Saccharomyces cerevisiae S288C: one gene and its partners. Changing the gene in region 3 together with the main gene of any one other region gives a genetic interaction. Each region holds a gene or a part of one and is shown on either strand. Other genes may lie near its edges.

Evidence for each region.
Region 1: mutations in SEC14 (region 3) and BUD7 are lethal when combined (synthetic lethality), as found in Saccharomyces cerevisiae (2 studies listed by BioGRID, with this or other methods).
Region 2: mutations in SEC14 (region 3) and GAS1 together harm fitness more than expected from each alone (negative genetic interaction), as found in Saccharomyces cerevisiae (5 studies listed by BioGRID, with this or other methods).
Region 4: mutations in SEC14 (region 3) and SWI5 together harm fitness more than expected from each alone (negative genetic interaction), as found in Saccharomyces cerevisiae (one large-scale study listed by BioGRID).

What each region holds. Positions count from the first base shown.
Region 1 is NC_001147.6:876,570-881,239, forward strand, and holds BUD7 (exomer complex subunit), read left to right. Parts: upstream 1-1,865; coding exon 1,866-4,106; downstream 4,107-4,670. Other genes in the region: MUM3 (Mum3p), read left to right, coding at 1-469; MBF1 (multiprotein-bridging factor 1), read right to left, coding at 661-1,116; RAX1 (Rax1p), read left to right, coding at 4,396-4,670. UniProt on the Saccharomyces cerevisiae protein: Member of the CHS5-ARF1P-binding proteins (CHAPS) which mediates export of specific cargo proteins, including chitin synthase CHS3. May be involved in positioning the proximal bud pole signal.
Region 2 is NC_001145.3:885,158-889,207, forward strand, and holds GAS1 (1,3-beta-glucanosyltransferase GAS1), read left to right. Parts: upstream 1-1,845; coding exon 1,846-3,525; downstream 3,526-4,050. Other genes in the region: FKS3 (putative 1,3-beta-D-glucan synthase), read left to right, coding at 1-1,359; importin PSE1, read right to left, coding at 3,795-4,050.
Region 3 is NC_001145.3:423,095-426,559, forward strand, and holds SEC14 (phosphatidylinositol/phosphatidylcholine transfer protein SEC14), read left to right. Parts: upstream 1-1,894; coding exon 1,895-1,903; intron 1,904-2,059; coding exon 2,060-2,965; downstream 2,966-3,465. Other genes in the region: CTF18 (Ctf18p), read right to left, coding at 1-1,634. UniProt on the Saccharomyces cerevisiae protein: Required for transport of secretory proteins from the Golgi complex. Catalyzes the transfer of phosphatidylinositol (PI) and phosphatidylcholine (PC) between membranes in vitro. Essential for viability and secretion.
Region 4 is NC_001136.10:748,027-752,728, reverse strand, and holds SWI5 (DNA-binding transcription factor SWI5), read left to right. Parts: upstream 1-1,986; coding exon 1,987-4,116; downstream 4,117-4,702. Other genes in the region: bifunctional choline kinase/ethanolamine kinase EKI1, read right to left, coding at 1-1,098; TAF12 (Taf12p), read right to left, coding at 4,372-4,702. UniProt on the Saccharomyces cerevisiae protein: Determines the mother-cell-specific transcription of the HO endonuclease gene that is responsible for the initiation of mating-type switching in yeast. Recognizes a specific sequence in the promoter of the HO gene.

The DNA of each region.
Region 1 (4,670 bases), on a different chromosome or scaffold from region 3:
TCACAAGAGCATGAAAATGGAGTCTTCCAAGGTATCCGATAAGACGACGCCGCCCATGATCGTAGATAATTCATACTTACTTACAAAAAAGGAAGAAATCAGCAGCGGCAAGCCCAAGGTGGTACGAATCAATCCATACATATATGATGTCACCATAATTTATTACCGAGTCAAATATACTGATAGTGGGCATGATCATACCAACGGAGATTTGAGACTTCATAAAGGTTATCAATTAGAGCAAATATCTCCGACAATCTTTGAGATGATTCAACCAGAAATGGAGTCTGAAAACAACATAAAGGATAAGGACCCCATTGTTGTGATGGTAAATGTAAAAAAGCATCAAATTCAACCATTACTCGCATACAATGATGAGAGTTTAGAAAAGTGGCTTGAAAATAGGTGGATAGAAAAAGATAGATTAATCGAGTCCTTGCAAAAAAATATTAAAATTGAGACCAAATAAAGATCCTGAATCATAATATATACGTGTGTACTTCACTTTCTATAGAGGAAAAAAAGCTAAAAAAAAAAAAAAATGATAAAATAAACGAAAAAAACCATAAAACGATCATGATAGAATAATGTACATTATTAAGAATGCTTCATTGATGACATGCAGTGCGAAAAGAAAGGAACAAATGAAAGAAGACCTCTTCATTTCTTCTTTGGAGCTCCCAAAGGCGAACCGATGTTGTTACCTCTCAATTTAACGCCTAAGGCTCTTTCCAACTTAGACAAAACTTGTTGGTTTGGAATAGCTCTAGCGGCTTCATAATCGTTTACCACGGTTGGCTTTTCGTTAATTTTGGTTGCCAAATCCTTCTGCGACATTTTCTTGTCTGTTCTGGCACGCGAGATGGCCCTACCGACATTTGGATCCAATTTCTTGGGTTTGACAATATCTGTCTCACGGTCGACCTTGGTCAACCTCTGACCCTCGTTGTCACCCCTCGTATTGGTTGATCCGTACTTCTTGTCAACGGAAACAACCAACCCCTGTCTTCTTGCAGCATTAATTTGGCCTTGAGATCTGGCAACGTTGGCCCTTGGGCCAGAACCACCAGCTCTTGCTCTGCTACCAATAATAGTATTTGTATCCCAGTCAGACATTTTTCTTTACGATTTTGCTCGTTAACTTTTTTGTTTTCTAGCTTATTAGCTTTTACAGTTATGGAAGCGTAGATTCAACCTTCCCTAACACATGAAACTATTATTGGTTAAGCGACAGGCGCCTTTCCAGCTACCTAATATATACCACCACCGTCAAGGGGCGCCCGTTCATGAAAGAGGCAACGATGGTGATCGATTATTTCCAGGAATTGTTCCATGACGTTCTACGTGGTTCTCTTGGTCGGGTAATACAATCAGGGTAACATAGTCAGGGTAACAGAATCCTTGCTTCTATTACCCTCCAATGCAAAGTTGACTGGCGTACATTTGGGCCAAGTATCAGGCCTACCATCTTTTCATCAGTGTTCGATAAATGAGACGTAGTGACCCAAATTCAGTATGTCTTGATAGCTTAGTAAGACTTATAAGCATTTTCACGCATCTTGGAAGAAAGTTGCGAGCATTGCCTTAAGATTCTGTCATGCGGGTGTCGATAGCGTCACGTGAACACATTCCAAGTCCTTTTTTCTTCACCTTTTTCGGTACCTGGTACCTGAGCCAGGAATAGAAGAAGGATCTGAAAAACGTATGCAAATATAGCAAGAGGGCGTAAGCTTAGCCTCGAGGCAATGGCGTTTTAATTATTTTAAGATTTTTTTTCCATAAATAGTGCTGTTATTAAGTTGAAGTGTTTGAGAAGGGAGTGAGCGCAAAAAAATAAAGAACTAAGGAAGAAGAGCTTCCCTCAGATGATTACGCAGAATTCTATACCAGAGGTAAAAGAAGATTTTATTGGTTATGCTTTACATGAGAGAAGAATTCGGTTACCGCAGTTTCAAGACTTAGGGCCGGCAGACTTGGTCACACTAACAAAGTATTTGCCCACTTCAAGTAACACAAATGCCATAAACAGTACGAGTAGAAATGGTGCGGCCATTATTCAGTCCCCTGCAGCCGTTGTAGCCGATGACTCTGCCGCTTCCATGGCAACCAATGGCGATGCTAGTGACACCGCCGTTACCACAAATTATACAAATGCATCTATATACAGTAGCAGCAGAAATGCCAATGATGGAGCCCCGATGGTCGCTGAGCTCCATCCACTTGATAAACTGAAGGACGAAGTAGGGACATTTTTTTACTCAATGGGTGTCGATACATCCGGTCCAACTTCAATCGCAATTTTTTTGAAGGAGATTTCAGAGGTCATCAGCGAGAAACCCCAAGTTTGGTTTGGCAGGAAGAAAACCTTCAATGTTGCTCGAATTTCATTTTCCACTTGGAATGCGTTCAGGAGATGCGACATAAATGTCGTCGTTCATATTCCAGGATCGATTCAGAACTTTATAGTGGATTGCAACGGTGAAAGTCAAAATATAGAGATGTGTGCGGATTATGACTTAATTTGGGCTGAAACGTTCGTAAGTGGCGTAGTACGGTCAATCATGTTAATGAAGGAAAACGCTGAAGAGGGAGAATTACAAAATTTAGTGGAAACCTTGATTTTGAACCCGTTTACTGCAGGACAAATCGACGATGTACCAGAAATGTTCATTGATCTGTTCCCTATAGTTTACCATAAGGGCCCATTATTGGGAGCTCCGTATTATATTACCAATGTGACGAACACTAATAACTATTTGGTAGAAACACTCGTTGAGATAGTTAAGCTGACTCGTAATGTTAGCAGGGCGGAAATAATGTTGAAGAATCTGGCTACCGACAACCCTGAGGCGATCATAATACTAATCAAGATCTTTTTGGTGTGTGATCAAGAATTAGACGCAATAAAGCTCACATACGATATGCTTTCGCAGGATAAAATAATAAACAACACTAATAACCGCATGGATTATAAATCTGAATTACTGTGCTTACAAGCGCAATTTTTGATAGACAAAAGGCAGGATTACAGCTTGGCGCAAAACATAGCGCAAGAGGCAGTCAATTGTTCTCCCAGTGAATTTAGACCTTGGTATCTTTTATCCAAGGTGTATGTAAAGCTAAATGATATTGAAAATGCCTTACTGATACTGAATTCATGCCCTATGTCTCCATTAAAGGAAAAATACGTACTGAAAAGAGTAGCTCCGTTGCCTTCGAATAATAGTCTTCATTTGCCATTGCCAATTGACGTTGTACTGGATGAAGTGACGTCGTTGAATCCACAAGACGTTCAGAATGAACACCGCTCTGCGGATCCAATGCTGGTCAATTTAGCTGCGTCGAACTTGAAATCTACTTTCCAATTGGCATACCGATTATTGACAGAAATTGTGCAGATCACCGGCTGGGAAAATCTGTTAAAGTACAGATCAAACATTTTCGTTATGGAAGAAGAGTACCAAAAATCATCATCTTCGTTACCAAAGGACGTTAACAAACAAGAAGAACAGCCTCTGAGGGCTAAACGGCTGTGTGAACGATGGTTAGACAACCTCTTCATGCTTTTATATGAAGACCTGAAGATGTATACATTATGGCAAACCGAACAACTGTACATGGATGCACAGAATAACAACCACAATAAGTTGACTTTCGAATGGGAGTTATTTGGCCTTTGTGCACGTCGACTGGGCCATTTCCCTGAGGCCGCCAAGGCCTTCCAGAACGGTTTATCGCAGAGATTTTCATCAAGGTGCGCGAGGAAACTGCTGGAATATTGTATAAACGAACGCCAACGGGTCAAAAATTTTATAAACTCACCTAATTCGCATGACATGGTCCCTGAAATAGTAAGCTCACGCATAAGAGAGCTAGACAATAGCATTATCGACCTTTGCGTGAAGATATGCTGCTGGAACCACCGTTGGTATACGGAATTTTCCATAAGTTTACTTGATTGTTTAAGTGTGGTTATTCAAGATATGAGTCTGACCAAAGTTTCGAATGAAATCTCGTCAAGATATCCAGAAACTGTTCTCAACTTGGTGCAGGAGAATTTGCTCAATTTCTTCACTACTTGCACCATTGGATGCTACGATGCATAAATACGATAAAAAGACATTAATACGTATATATAATCCAAAAAAAATTGGCGATACGCTTCAACGTTGTGTCAAACTCTTGGGTCACTTTAAAGAAAACCCAGCATACATTAATACAGAGCAATGCTGGTTATGTAACTTCGCCGCCCGCCGCCATTCGAGGAAAAATATTCGTGTTTCGAGAATGCGGGCAAAACGAAAATATCAATAAAACACATACGGGAAATTCATTGTGCACAACGACCTCTAACAATTTCTGCCAAAAAGAAAGTTCAAGAGCGTCCCATTCATCATGAAGGAAGAGCTCAGCAAAGTGAGCAGTATGCAAAATTTCGAGATGATCCAGCGTGAACGATTGCCAACATTGTATGAAGTGTTAATACAGAGGACATCGCAGCCAGTTGATCTCTGGACTTTTTATACATTTCTTTCACAATTCCCATATGCCATCAACTATCTGGACTTTTGGGTTGACCTTATGACACATACACGACTTTGCAAAAACTACATAGAGTTGGTAAGAAAATCATTAATCAACTTTCCACAAGAACAACAGCAGAATGGAAG
Region 2 (4,050 bases), 460 kb from region 3:
GGAGCAAAGTACATATCTACAGGTCGTGGGTTTGCAATAACACGCCTCGATTTTTTTACGCTCTATTCCAGATTTGTTAATATATCGATATATTCTGGTTTCCAAGTGTTCTTCATGTTATTATTCGCGATTATTTCCATGTGGCAACCCGCCTTATTATGGTTTTGGATTACAGTCATTTCGATGTGCTTCGCACCTTTTATTTTCAATCCACATCAGTTCGCATTCATGGATTTCTTCATTGATTATAAAACCTTTATCCACTGGTTATTCTCAGGTAACACGAAATATCAAAAAGAATCGTGGGCAAACTTTGTCAAGAGTTCTCGATCAAGATTTACGGGCTATAAAAGTAAAACTGTAGATGATATTTCCGAAGATTCAGGCCATGATTCAAAGAAAGCGAGGTTTTGGAACGTCTTCTTTGCAGAACTATTTCTACCTTTCTGTGTGTTCCTCTTCAACTTCACCGCTTTTTCTTTCATTAATGCACAAACAGGGGTCTCTGACTCAACACCAACTAGCGCTGTTTTCCGTTTGTTGCTCGTAACTTTTTTGCCAATCTTTCTTAACTCAATAGTGCTTTTTCTATTATTTTGGGTTTCACTTTTTGTGGTTCCTGGATTGTCATATTGTTGTAAAGACGCAGGTGCCGTGATTGCGTTTATTGCACACACTTTCTCGGTTTTGGTCTATCTTTTAGATTTCGAACTGATGTGGTTCTTACAAGGTTGGAACTTTACCCGTACATTGATACTGCTTATTACGTGCATCAATATGCATCTGATTCTTTTCAAGGTCTTTACGACGATATTCTTGACAAGGGAGTATAAAAACAATAAGGCACATTTGGCATGGTGGAATGGTAAATGGTACAATACGGGCATGGGCTGGTCTATCATTTTACAGCCCATACGAGAATACTTCGTGAAGATTATGGAATCTAGTTATTTTGCAGCAGATTTCTTTCTTGGTCACTTCCTCTTATTTATACAAACGCCCATAATATTGTTACCATTTATCGATTACTGGCATACAATGGTGCTATTTTGGATGAATCCAAGAAGTATTATCGCGCATAAAAGAATTTTGACTCGAAAGCAGAGAGCATTAAGAAGTAGGATAGTTTCAAAATATTTCTCTCTATATTTTGTGATGCTAGGTGTGCTCCTTTTTATGCTCATCGCGCCATTCTTTGCTGGTGATTTCGTATCTAGTCCGCAAGAATTGCTGGAAGGCACCCTTTTCGAAGGAATCTTCCAACCTAACAACCAAAACAACAACGATACTGGTCCAAATGCTCCATCGACAATCCTGACTACAACACCAACTTTACCTACCTTTAGGACTGTCGCATAGGGATAAAAAAAAAAAGTTATTTTGAGTAGCTGATAAAGCGAGCTGGTGCCTATCATAGCCGGCTCAGACTTTTTATGAATTCACAGGCCAGCCCTGGCTATTCTTTTGCGTACTTTTAGTTCGATATATTTTCGCGGCTCGCGTTTTGTTTGCTTCTTATTTTACACTGAGTTTTCGTGCCGCAAACGTGGAGATGGGAAAAAGAAAAGTCGGGAAAATAATGAGAAATTTCTACTTTTGGTATTCCTCATACAGCCTGCGCGGTTTATTAGTAAAATACCCGATAATCCTCGAGGTTTGAAAAACTTTTCCCTCTACTACTGTTGACACGGATTTTTTTATTTAAGAGGAAAAGTCGTGGTTGTTTTCCTCGAACAAATTAGATATCCATAAATAGTTGTGTCGTTTTATTAAGCTATTTCAAAATCAGTTTTTATTTTTAAAGTCTGATAAAACAAAAACAACAAACACAGCTAAATCTCAACAATGTTGTTTAAATCCCTTTCAAAGTTAGCAACCGCTGCTGCTTTTTTTGCTGGCGTCGCAACTGCGGACGATGTTCCAGCGATTGAAGTTGTTGGTAATAAGTTTTTCTACTCCAACAACGGTAGTCAGTTCTACATAAGAGGTGTTGCTTATCAGGCTGATACCGCTAATGAAACTAGCGGATCTACTGTCAACGATCCTTTGGCCAATTATGAGAGTTGTTCCAGAGATATTCCATACCTCAAAAAATTGAACACAAATGTTATCCGTGTCTACGCTATCAATACCACTCTAGATCACTCCGAATGTATGAAGGCTTTGAATGATGCTGACATCTATGTCATCGCTGATTTAGCAGCTCCAGCCACCTCTATCAATAGAGACGATCCAACTTGGACTGTTGACTTGTTCAACAGCTACAAAACCGTTGTTGACACTTTTGCTAATTACACCAACGTTTTGGGTTTCTTCGCCGGTAATGAAGTTACTAACAATTACACCAACACAGATGCATCTGCTTTCGTGAAGGCAGCTATTAGAGACGTCAGACAATACATCAGCGACAAGAACTACAGAAAAATTCCAGTTGGCTACTCTTCCAATGATGACGAAGATACCAGAGTTAAGATGACTGATTATTTCGCTTGTGGTGATGATGATGTTAAGGCTGATTTTTACGGTATTAATATGTATGAATGGTGTGGTAAATCTGACTTCAAAACTTCTGGTTATGCTGATAGAACTGCAGAATTCAAAAACTTATCTATTCCTGTTTTCTTCTCTGAATACGGTTGTAACGAAGTAACACCAAGACTATTTACTGAGGTTGAAGCCTTGTACGGTTCTAATATGACAGATGTCTGGTCTGGTGGTATCGTATACATGTACTTCGAAGAGACTAACAAATACGGTTTAGTTAGCATCGATGGTAATGATGTTAAAACTTTGGATGACTTCAACAACTATTCTTCTGAAATCAACAAAATATCACCAACTTCCGCCAACACAAAGTCTTACAGTGCAACAACAAGTGATGTTGCTTGTCCAGCTACTGGTAAGTACTGGTCCGCTGCAACAGAATTACCACCAACTCCAAACGGAGGCTTGTGTTCATGTATGAATGCAGCCAATAGTTGTGTTGTTTCCGATGACGTTGATTCTGATGATTACGAAACCTTATTTAACTGGATCTGTAATGAAGTCGACTGTAGCGGTATTTCAGCAAACGGTACCGCCGGTAAGTATGGTGCTTACTCTTTCTGTACACCAAAGGAACAGCTATCTTTCGTTATGAATTTGTACTACGAGAAGAGTGGTGGTAGCAAATCTGACTGTAGCTTCAGCGGTTCTGCCACTCTACAAACTGCCACCACGCAAGCTAGTTGCTCCTCCGCTTTGAAAGAGATTGGTAGTATGGGTACCAACTCTGCATCAGGTAGTGTTGATTTGGGTTCCGGAACTGAATCCAGTACTGCCTCTTCTAACGCTTCGGGGTCTTCTTCCAAGTCTAACTCCGGCTCTTCTGGTTCTTCCAGTTCTTCTTCTTCTTCTTCAGCTTCATCTTCATCTTCTAGCAAGAAGAATGCTGCCACCAACGTTAAAGCTAACTTAGCACAAGTGGTCTTTACCTCCATCATTTCCTTATCCATTGCCGCTGGTGTCGGTTTTGCTTTGGTTTAAAAAGCTTCGACACATACATAATAACTCGATAAGGTATGGTATCTTATTTCATTGTGGGGTAGTTTTTACGAAAAAAATGAAAAGTTGTAAGTATAGTATATATTTTTTTTCTATGTAAGTTTTATAAGATTCTATTCGCTATTACCACCGGTAAATTAAAAAGAACACTATTGTTACATTATATGTTTTTAAATCATCAAAAAAGACAATATTCATTTAATATTCCTTATAGAACTACTTAACATTGTTCTTCTTTCTATTAAACGTCTTTATGCAAACCATTTATGTACTTTCTCCATAATATCAGCTGGATATCTATTGAAAATTGCCATAGCATCACTAGAAGGCAAAAATCCCAACAACTTTTTAACTGAACTTATCACCGTTTGGCCTTCCCTTTCGGTCAAACTTCTCTCATTCAAGGCTTGTATGACTGAATCAACTACAGCGGAGATATTAGATTGAGCACACACAATTGGCGAATTATTTTCAATCAATTGACTCAAAAATTGATAGTTGAATGAG
Region 3 (3,465 bases):
TTTCTATCCGTAAAACTTGCCATTAGTGGGGACTGAACCGAGATATGTCTCATAATCAGACTAACTATATCTGAATTGGCTCGTTTTAATTCACGTTGTTCGTATTCACTATTCTTCATTCTAATATCATCTTTGTTTGCGATATCGCCAAACGTTTGGAAGAAGACTAGGGGCACAAGGGCGGAGTAACGTAACAATTCGCCATTATGCGCATACATTGATTGGTACATTAAATCATGGAAAAATAGCCAATCTGAAATGTTTGCTGGCTTTCTTATACCATTGTCGGAATATTTTACGTAGGGAAATATATTAAAACAGCCTTGCAATATCCTGTCAGAGTTACCATTAAGCTCTACTTGGTTTAGCAATTCATAAAACTGCTCCTTTATATCACGATGTGGATCCTTTCTAAACAATTGGTTCACGATTTTAAACCATGATATGGGGGAGTCCTTGTTGGATGACGCCCACGTATTTTTTGCACAAGCAGGTTTATCTGATGCAGAGGAATCTCTTGAATCAACATTCGAGGCCAAGAATTGTAAATTGTTTATACAATTCCTTACGTCACCTTGAGCCAAATCAATTAAGTCATTGATTGCTTTTATAGGAATATTCATGTTTTCTTTATGGCAGATAAGGTTCAATCGCTCTAGTAGGGTAGTATCGGAAGGTCTTTTCACAGCAATAATTTCACAGAATGGTTTCAGCTTTTCCAAAGAAGGAGCATATAGATTATTGCAAATACAAATAATAGGTCGCGTAAGCAATTTAGACCTTTTCTTTTTGCGCTTTTTGTCCTTTTTATCTGGTTGACCGTATAATAGTTTATTAGTGGCTTTAATATCGCTTTGCATAATGTCAACTAAAATTCTAATAAATCCACTCTCAATACTTCCATCAATCTCATCCGCCACTAAGCACACAGGATTTGTATCGAAAGTATGATTGAATAAAAGATTATATATTTTCTCTTTTACCATAGGTCCAGCCCTTTCATCACTTGCATTGATTTCTGAGACAGAAAACCCTGATTGTTTGGCAATAACGTGAGCTACTGAGGTTTTGCCTATTCCTGGTGGCCCGTGCAGTAGTAAAATTTTCTTTGGTGGCCTTTTCAATGGATCGAGTTCCATATCACTGACCTCTTTTTCGGTTGGCAATTTGGGTAATTGCTCTTTAAACACAGCCGGCGTCCATTGTCTCAACCAACCTAACATTCTCCTGTTTGTCTTTTCATTACCAACCAAATCTAGAAATTTTTTAGGACGCCATTTCTCTACCCAGAGTGTGTCGCTACCTATCTTGCCAGTTATAGGTGAAGTCTTTTGTGCGTTAGTGCGGTCATCGCCAGATGCCTCAATTTTGTCTAACAAATAGTTTATATTGATGCCGTACGTGTCGTCTGATCTCCAAACAGTATCTGGGTTAGTGTATAGACTAATATTCCCGGTTGCTAACTTCGCAGGCTTCTTCTTTAATTGAACCGTTTCGCCAGTACTTGATACAAACGCGTGAATATCTTCCTCATTAATACCAATTGCATTATTACCAGGGGCTTGTTCTATATCACCAGTATCAAAAAGGGAACTTCTCCCTAGTGAACCAATGTATGGTGCGGTATCAACCATGATCCCTGACCTTACATCCACCTTTTGGGTCAAATAGTGTACACATTAGGAATAAAATATATGAAATCATGTTTATTTACGTGTTAGATGTTCCGTACAACGCGACTGGCTAGTTCGTTTTTTCCACATTTTTTTTTTCAACGTTGATCAACAATAAAATGGTACATCTTCCTTTGTTTGTGTCTTAAGTGTCCTTTCCTGGTATATCGCTTGACCAGCGCCTGTAGCATCAAACCAAACCTTCATCGCCCTAAAACACAATGGTTACAGTATGTTGTTGCTTTTATTTACTTTTTCTTTTTTTGACATTCATTGTGACAATATTCACATTCTTCAGATAGTTCTGTCTATATGAAGCAAAAATGATATATCAATAAGTTTACTAACAAACACAAGTGGTATTACTATGACTTCACTTTAAATAGCAACAAGAAAAGGAATTTTTAGAATCCTACCCTCAAAACTGTCCTCCAGATGCCTTGCCTGGTACTCCAGGAAATTTAGACAGCGCTCAAGAGAAGGCATTGGCAGAACTAAGAAAACTTTTGGAAGACGCTGGTTTCATTGAACGTTTAGACGATTCAACTTTACTACGTTTTTTGAGAGCCAGAAAATTTGATGTTCAATTGGCTAAAGAAATGTTTGAAAACTGCGAAAAATGGAGGAAGGATTATGGTACCGACACTATCTTGCAAGATTTTCATTATGATGAAAAACCATTGATTGCCAAATTCTACCCACAATATTATCATAAAACCGATAAAGATGGCCGCCCAGTATATTTTGAAGAATTAGGTGCTGTTAACTTACATGAAATGAACAAGGTTACCTCTGAAGAGAGGATGTTGAAAAACTTGGTTTGGGAATACGAATCTGTCGTTCAATACAGATTACCTGCCTGTTCAAGAGCTGCTGGTCACCTAGTGGAAACTTCATGTACAATTATGGATTTGAAAGGTATCTCCATATCTAGTGCATACAGTGTTATGTCATATGTTAGGGAAGCCTCCTACATAAGTCAAAACTATTACCCCGAACGTATGGGTAAATTTTACATCATCAACGCGCCATTCGGTTTCTCTACCGCATTTAGGCTATTTAAACCTTTCTTGGATCCAGTCACTGTTTCAAAGATTTTTATCTTGGGTTCTTCTTACCAGAAGGAATTATTAAAGCAAATTCCAGCTGAAAACTTACCAGTCAAATTTGGCGGTAAGTCTGAAGTTGATGAATCCAAGGGTGGGTTATACCTATCCGATATCGGTCCATGGAGGGATCCAAAGTATATTGGACCGGAAGGTGAAGCTCCGGAAGCCTTTTCGATGAAATGATATTATTTTTAAAGACATTTTTTTTTCGAGAGAGAAAAGAGGAGTTCTAAGTAACGATATTTTACAACTGAGATAAGTACAAGTATGCTTATTTACTCTATTCTACTTTTTTGAATAGGCATAGTTCACACTTTTATCTCCTTAGTTTGTACTACTCTTTTTTTATTTTTTTTTTTTCTTCCACTCAGCTATTAGATTATTTATTATTTTATTATCTGTGGTATCATTTTCTACAGCCATACCTTGATTTTAGTTTATTTTGTTGGCAGTTATATACATTTATCTTATAGAATACATATGCACGTATTAAACAATAAAAAGAACATAAGCAAAAATGAAACCTCGCTACAATAAAACTTTATTACGCATTGCAGTGCGCCGTAAAGAGTATTCATTAGAAGTACAATGGTAGCCCTATTTGGTTGCAACATGTTTTAGCAAAGAGATTAGTAGGCTAGGATATCAAGTCCATGCCCCTTTATCACATACTGTAATGATAG
Region 4 (4,702 bases), on a different chromosome or scaffold from region 3:
ATCAAATACAACGGGGTTAGGGCCTGCGTACTCAAAGTCAATAATTGTTAAATCGCCCACTGAGATGTCATCCTTACCCTTACTTTTAAAAAGTAAATTACCATGCTGTAAGTCGTTATGGCAAAATACCATTTTTAGCCCAGAATTTATCATACTATCTTTATCATCCTCTCTTAATAATTTTGAGGTAAAAGCAGAATCATTATACAACCAACGCTTATAATTTTTGAAACTCTTTAAAAAAAAATTCCAACTTGAACAGCGTAAATTTTCACTTATATTTACATTATTGGAAACCCACTCTTTATGCGAGTCTATTAATTTGATCCACTGATCAAAGGTTGTCCAGCATGACGGTTGATCCGTTATTTCTTTATGCGTTAATGGAACAGTACAATGCAACTCTTTCAATTTTTTAGCAATTTTTATTGAAGTATCCCGATCTATAAAGTCGGCTTGAGTAGATGTCCTCGAACCCTCAATGTATTTTTCAAATCTGCCATTTTCAAAAAACCCTTCTAGTTTGGGTCCTAAATCATAAAATGATAATCTCGCAATAACCTTTAATTCATACTCTCTATCAATTACAGAATCTATGCTATCACCAAAAATTCTCATCAGTAAAGGGGGTAAGTTTGGATAGTGAATCTTATAAATAACATTTGTAAGGGCCCCCTTGATTTGTGTCAAAGTTAATAAATTCTTATTCAACGAGGATTCTTTAGAGCCGGGCACAGACCATCCAGGAATCTCCAAGCTTTGTAAAACATTTATGATATCTTGTTTGAAATATTGAGATGGCAAAGACGGGTCTAATTTCGCGTTTACGTATGCCAGTTTGAGAAAATCATTAGCGGTTTGTGAAGTCCATGAGCTTGATGTCATCTCACCGTCTTCATTCGTGCATGTTATTGGCAGTTCATTTTTCAAGTCGACTTCTGAGTGCTCATTAGTATCGATGATGTGGATCACCCTCCTCGTTGGCTTGTCACAATTTGCAGACTGGCGCTTTTTCTTAGACATTTCTGGTGAGGCTGTGCCGACCAAGTAAGTTCGGGGCATTGCGTCACTGCTTGTAAGTGAATAATTGGTGTACATTATGCCAAATTGCAGATCTGTATCTGTTAATTTCTGCTACTACTTTCGTACAAACTATAGCTGCGTACCACAACAATTTAGTAATTTTGTGCCAATCTGTTATCTCAACAACGACATCTATTGTTTTGTAGATTTGCATACACTTTCTTTTGCAAACGACCTCCGGGTAGCCAAAACCCAAACGATATTTTTTTACTATCATCACCGTTTTCACATGCTGTCTAGTGGCCTAACTTATGAAACATAGTCAAACTACTTATAAAACTTCGGCAGTCAGACAGTTCTTTCATTAAATGGTGTCAAGTAGATATTTACGGCATTGGATTCTAGGGCCAATGTTATTTCTGTCTTAAAGGAGAGCGAATCAAATATCGGAGTGTTATTGTTAGATATTCTGAAAGGTAGTATGATTATCTGAAAGCCGATAGGAGTGGTACACTCCGCTCACACCTTGTTAAATATTCATTAGAACATCTCTGTTCCAATTCATAGCAGCATTGTTGGAAATATCTTGGTCTGAATCCCAATCCGGGCAAGTAGAGAGGATGAAATTTTCACTTTCGTACTTTAACCTGTTTAGGAAAAAGGTAAACAATAACAATACCTACCATTAGCGACTAATTATCTTTCTTTCTCCCTATAGATCTGCTCTATAAACAATGATTGAGTACTATAGAGGATCGTCTGCAATTTTATTCACTATTTATGTATTGGCACGGAAGACAAAAAGGCATCGTTGGAAGAAAGATTTGAGAACGACAATATAGATACCACCATATAACTCGTTCTTGGAGCTAGGTAAATAGATCCTGAGAACGTGTTTAACATCTGCGATATAATTAAAGCGCAATCAAATAAAATATTAACGTCATTGTTTTTTCGAAAAAGATGGATACATCAAACTCTTGGTTTGATGCCTCAAAAGTACAAAGCCTAAATTTTGACCTACAAACCAACTCTTATTACTCAAATGCTAGAGGCAGTGACCCTTCGAGTTATGCAATAGAAGGCGAATATAAAACACTAGCAACAGATGATTTAGGCAATATATTGAACCTAAACTATGGTGAAACCAACGAAGTTATAATGAATGAAATAAATGACTTAAACCTTCCGCTGGGACCACTTTCTGATGAAAAATCTGTCAAGGTTTCTACTTTCTCCGAGTTAATAGGAAATGATTGGCAAAGTATGAACTTTGACTTAGAAAATAATTCAAGAGAAGTGACTCTAAATGCAACTAGCTTGTTGAATGAAAATAGATTAAATCAAGACAGTGGTATGACTGTTTATCAAAAAACAATGAGTGATAAGCCCCACGATGAAAAGAAGATTTCCATGGCGGATAATTTATTGTCGACTATAAACAAAAGTGAAATTAATAAAGGCTTCGATAGAAACCTCGGGGAATTACTGTTACAGCAACAACAAGAGTTGCGCGAGCAATTGAGAGCACAACAAGAGGCTAATAAGAAGTTAGAGTTAGAACTCAAACAAACACAATACAAGCAACAACAACTACAGGCTACCTTAGAGAACTCTGATGGTCCACAGTTTTTATCTCCCAAAAGGAAGATCTCTCCTGCTTCAGAAAATGTGGAGGATGTATACGCAAATAGCCTTTCACCAATGATTTCCCCACCAATGTCTAATACTTCGTTCACTGGGTCACCTTCTAGGAGAAACAATAGACAAAAGTACTGCCTGCAGAGAAAAAACTCTAGTGGTACTGTAGGACCACTATGTTTCCAGGAATTGAACGAAGGTTTCAATGACTCCCTCATTTCACCAAAGAAAATTCGCTCGAATCCAAATGAAAACCTCAGTTCAAAAACCAAATTTATTACGCCCTTCACTCCAAAGAGTAGAGTTAGTTCAGCTACGTCCAACTCTGCTAACATTACCCCTAATAACTTAAGGTTAGATTTCAAGATTAATGTTGAAGATCAGGAAAGCGAATATTCAGAGAAACCTTTGGGCCTGGGTATTGAACTTCTTGGAAAACCAGGTCCTTCTCCTACAAAATCAGTGTCTTTAAAGAGTGCTTCTGTGGATATTATGCCTACAATTCCTGGGTCTGTAAATAATACTCCATCAGTCAATAAAGTATCCCTTTCCTCCAGTTATATAGACCAATATACACCAAGAGGTAAGCAGTTACACTTTAGCTCTATCAGTGAGAATGCATTGGGTATCAATGCTGCGACACCACATCTAAAGCCGCCGAGCCAGCAAGCACGACATCGGGAAGGCGTTTTCAATGATTTAGACCCTAATGTACTTACGAAAAATACAGACAATGAAGGAGATGATAATGAGGAAAATGAGCCTGAAAGTAGATTTGTTATTTCCGAAACGCCTTCTCCCGTTCTTAAGTCACAAAGTAAGTACGAAGGAAGATCTCCTCAATTCGGCACACACATTAAGGAAATCAACACATATACCACAAATAGTCCCTCAAAAATCACAAGAAAACTCACAACACTGCCCAGAGGTTCAATCGATAAATATGTGAAGGAAATGCCTGATAAAACATTTGAATGTTTATTTCCTGGATGTACAAAAACATTCAAGAGAAGGTATAACATCAGATCTCATATTCAAACACATTTGGAAGATCGGCCATATTCCTGTGATCACCCTGGATGTGATAAGGCATTTGTACGAAATCATGACTTGATAAGACACAAAAAATCGCACCAAGAAAAGGCGTATGCATGTCCCTGTGGTAAGAAATTCAATAGAGAAGACGCTTTGGTTGTGCACAGAAGTAGAATGATTTGCAGCGGTGGTAAAAAGTATGAAAACGTGGTAATTAAAAGGTCTCCAAGAAAAAGAGGAAGACCAAGAAAAGATGGAACTTCAAGTGTTTCTAGTAGTCCAATCAAAGAAAATATTAACAAGGATCATAATGGACAGTTGATGTTCAAGCTTGAAGATCAACTCAGAAGAGAGCGTAGTTATGATGGGAATGGAACGGGGATTATGGTTTCGCCAATGAAAACTAATCAAAGGTAAAAAAAAACATTGATGTTATGGACACTTTTTTTAATATTTAATAATAAAAACAAAATGAAAACAAGGAAAAAAAGTTTTTTTTTTTTTTAATTATGTATAATCTAAGTAAATAATATAGTATGAACACTTTAGATACAAAATATTAATTAATCAATTAATTTTAAAAAATTTCGCTTTATAGATACATATATAACAATGTGAACTATAACTTTAGGAATTTTTTCTGTGGAAGAGTGGAGAATGTGGGTAACATAATTATTTTTTTGTATTCAAGCTTGCAACATTGTTTCCATTGTTTTTTGCAGCTGCTACCTTATCTGATGTGATACTCTGCAATTTCTGGTTATAATTTTGAGAGGGATTCCATTTTCTTGTACTTCTTATTTCGTCTGCGGAATAACCAGGAATCCTAATATTCCAATTTCTCTCCAAATGTAACTGAATGTCTCTTGCCTCCAAATTGTCCGATTTTCTGTGTTTTGCCAATCTACAAGAAAAAGCTGTAACATTAGTAACAAAATCGTCGGCAAGATCCAATAGTAATTCCTCAACATCACCGTCAATGACAGTTTCACCGTCACCCTCA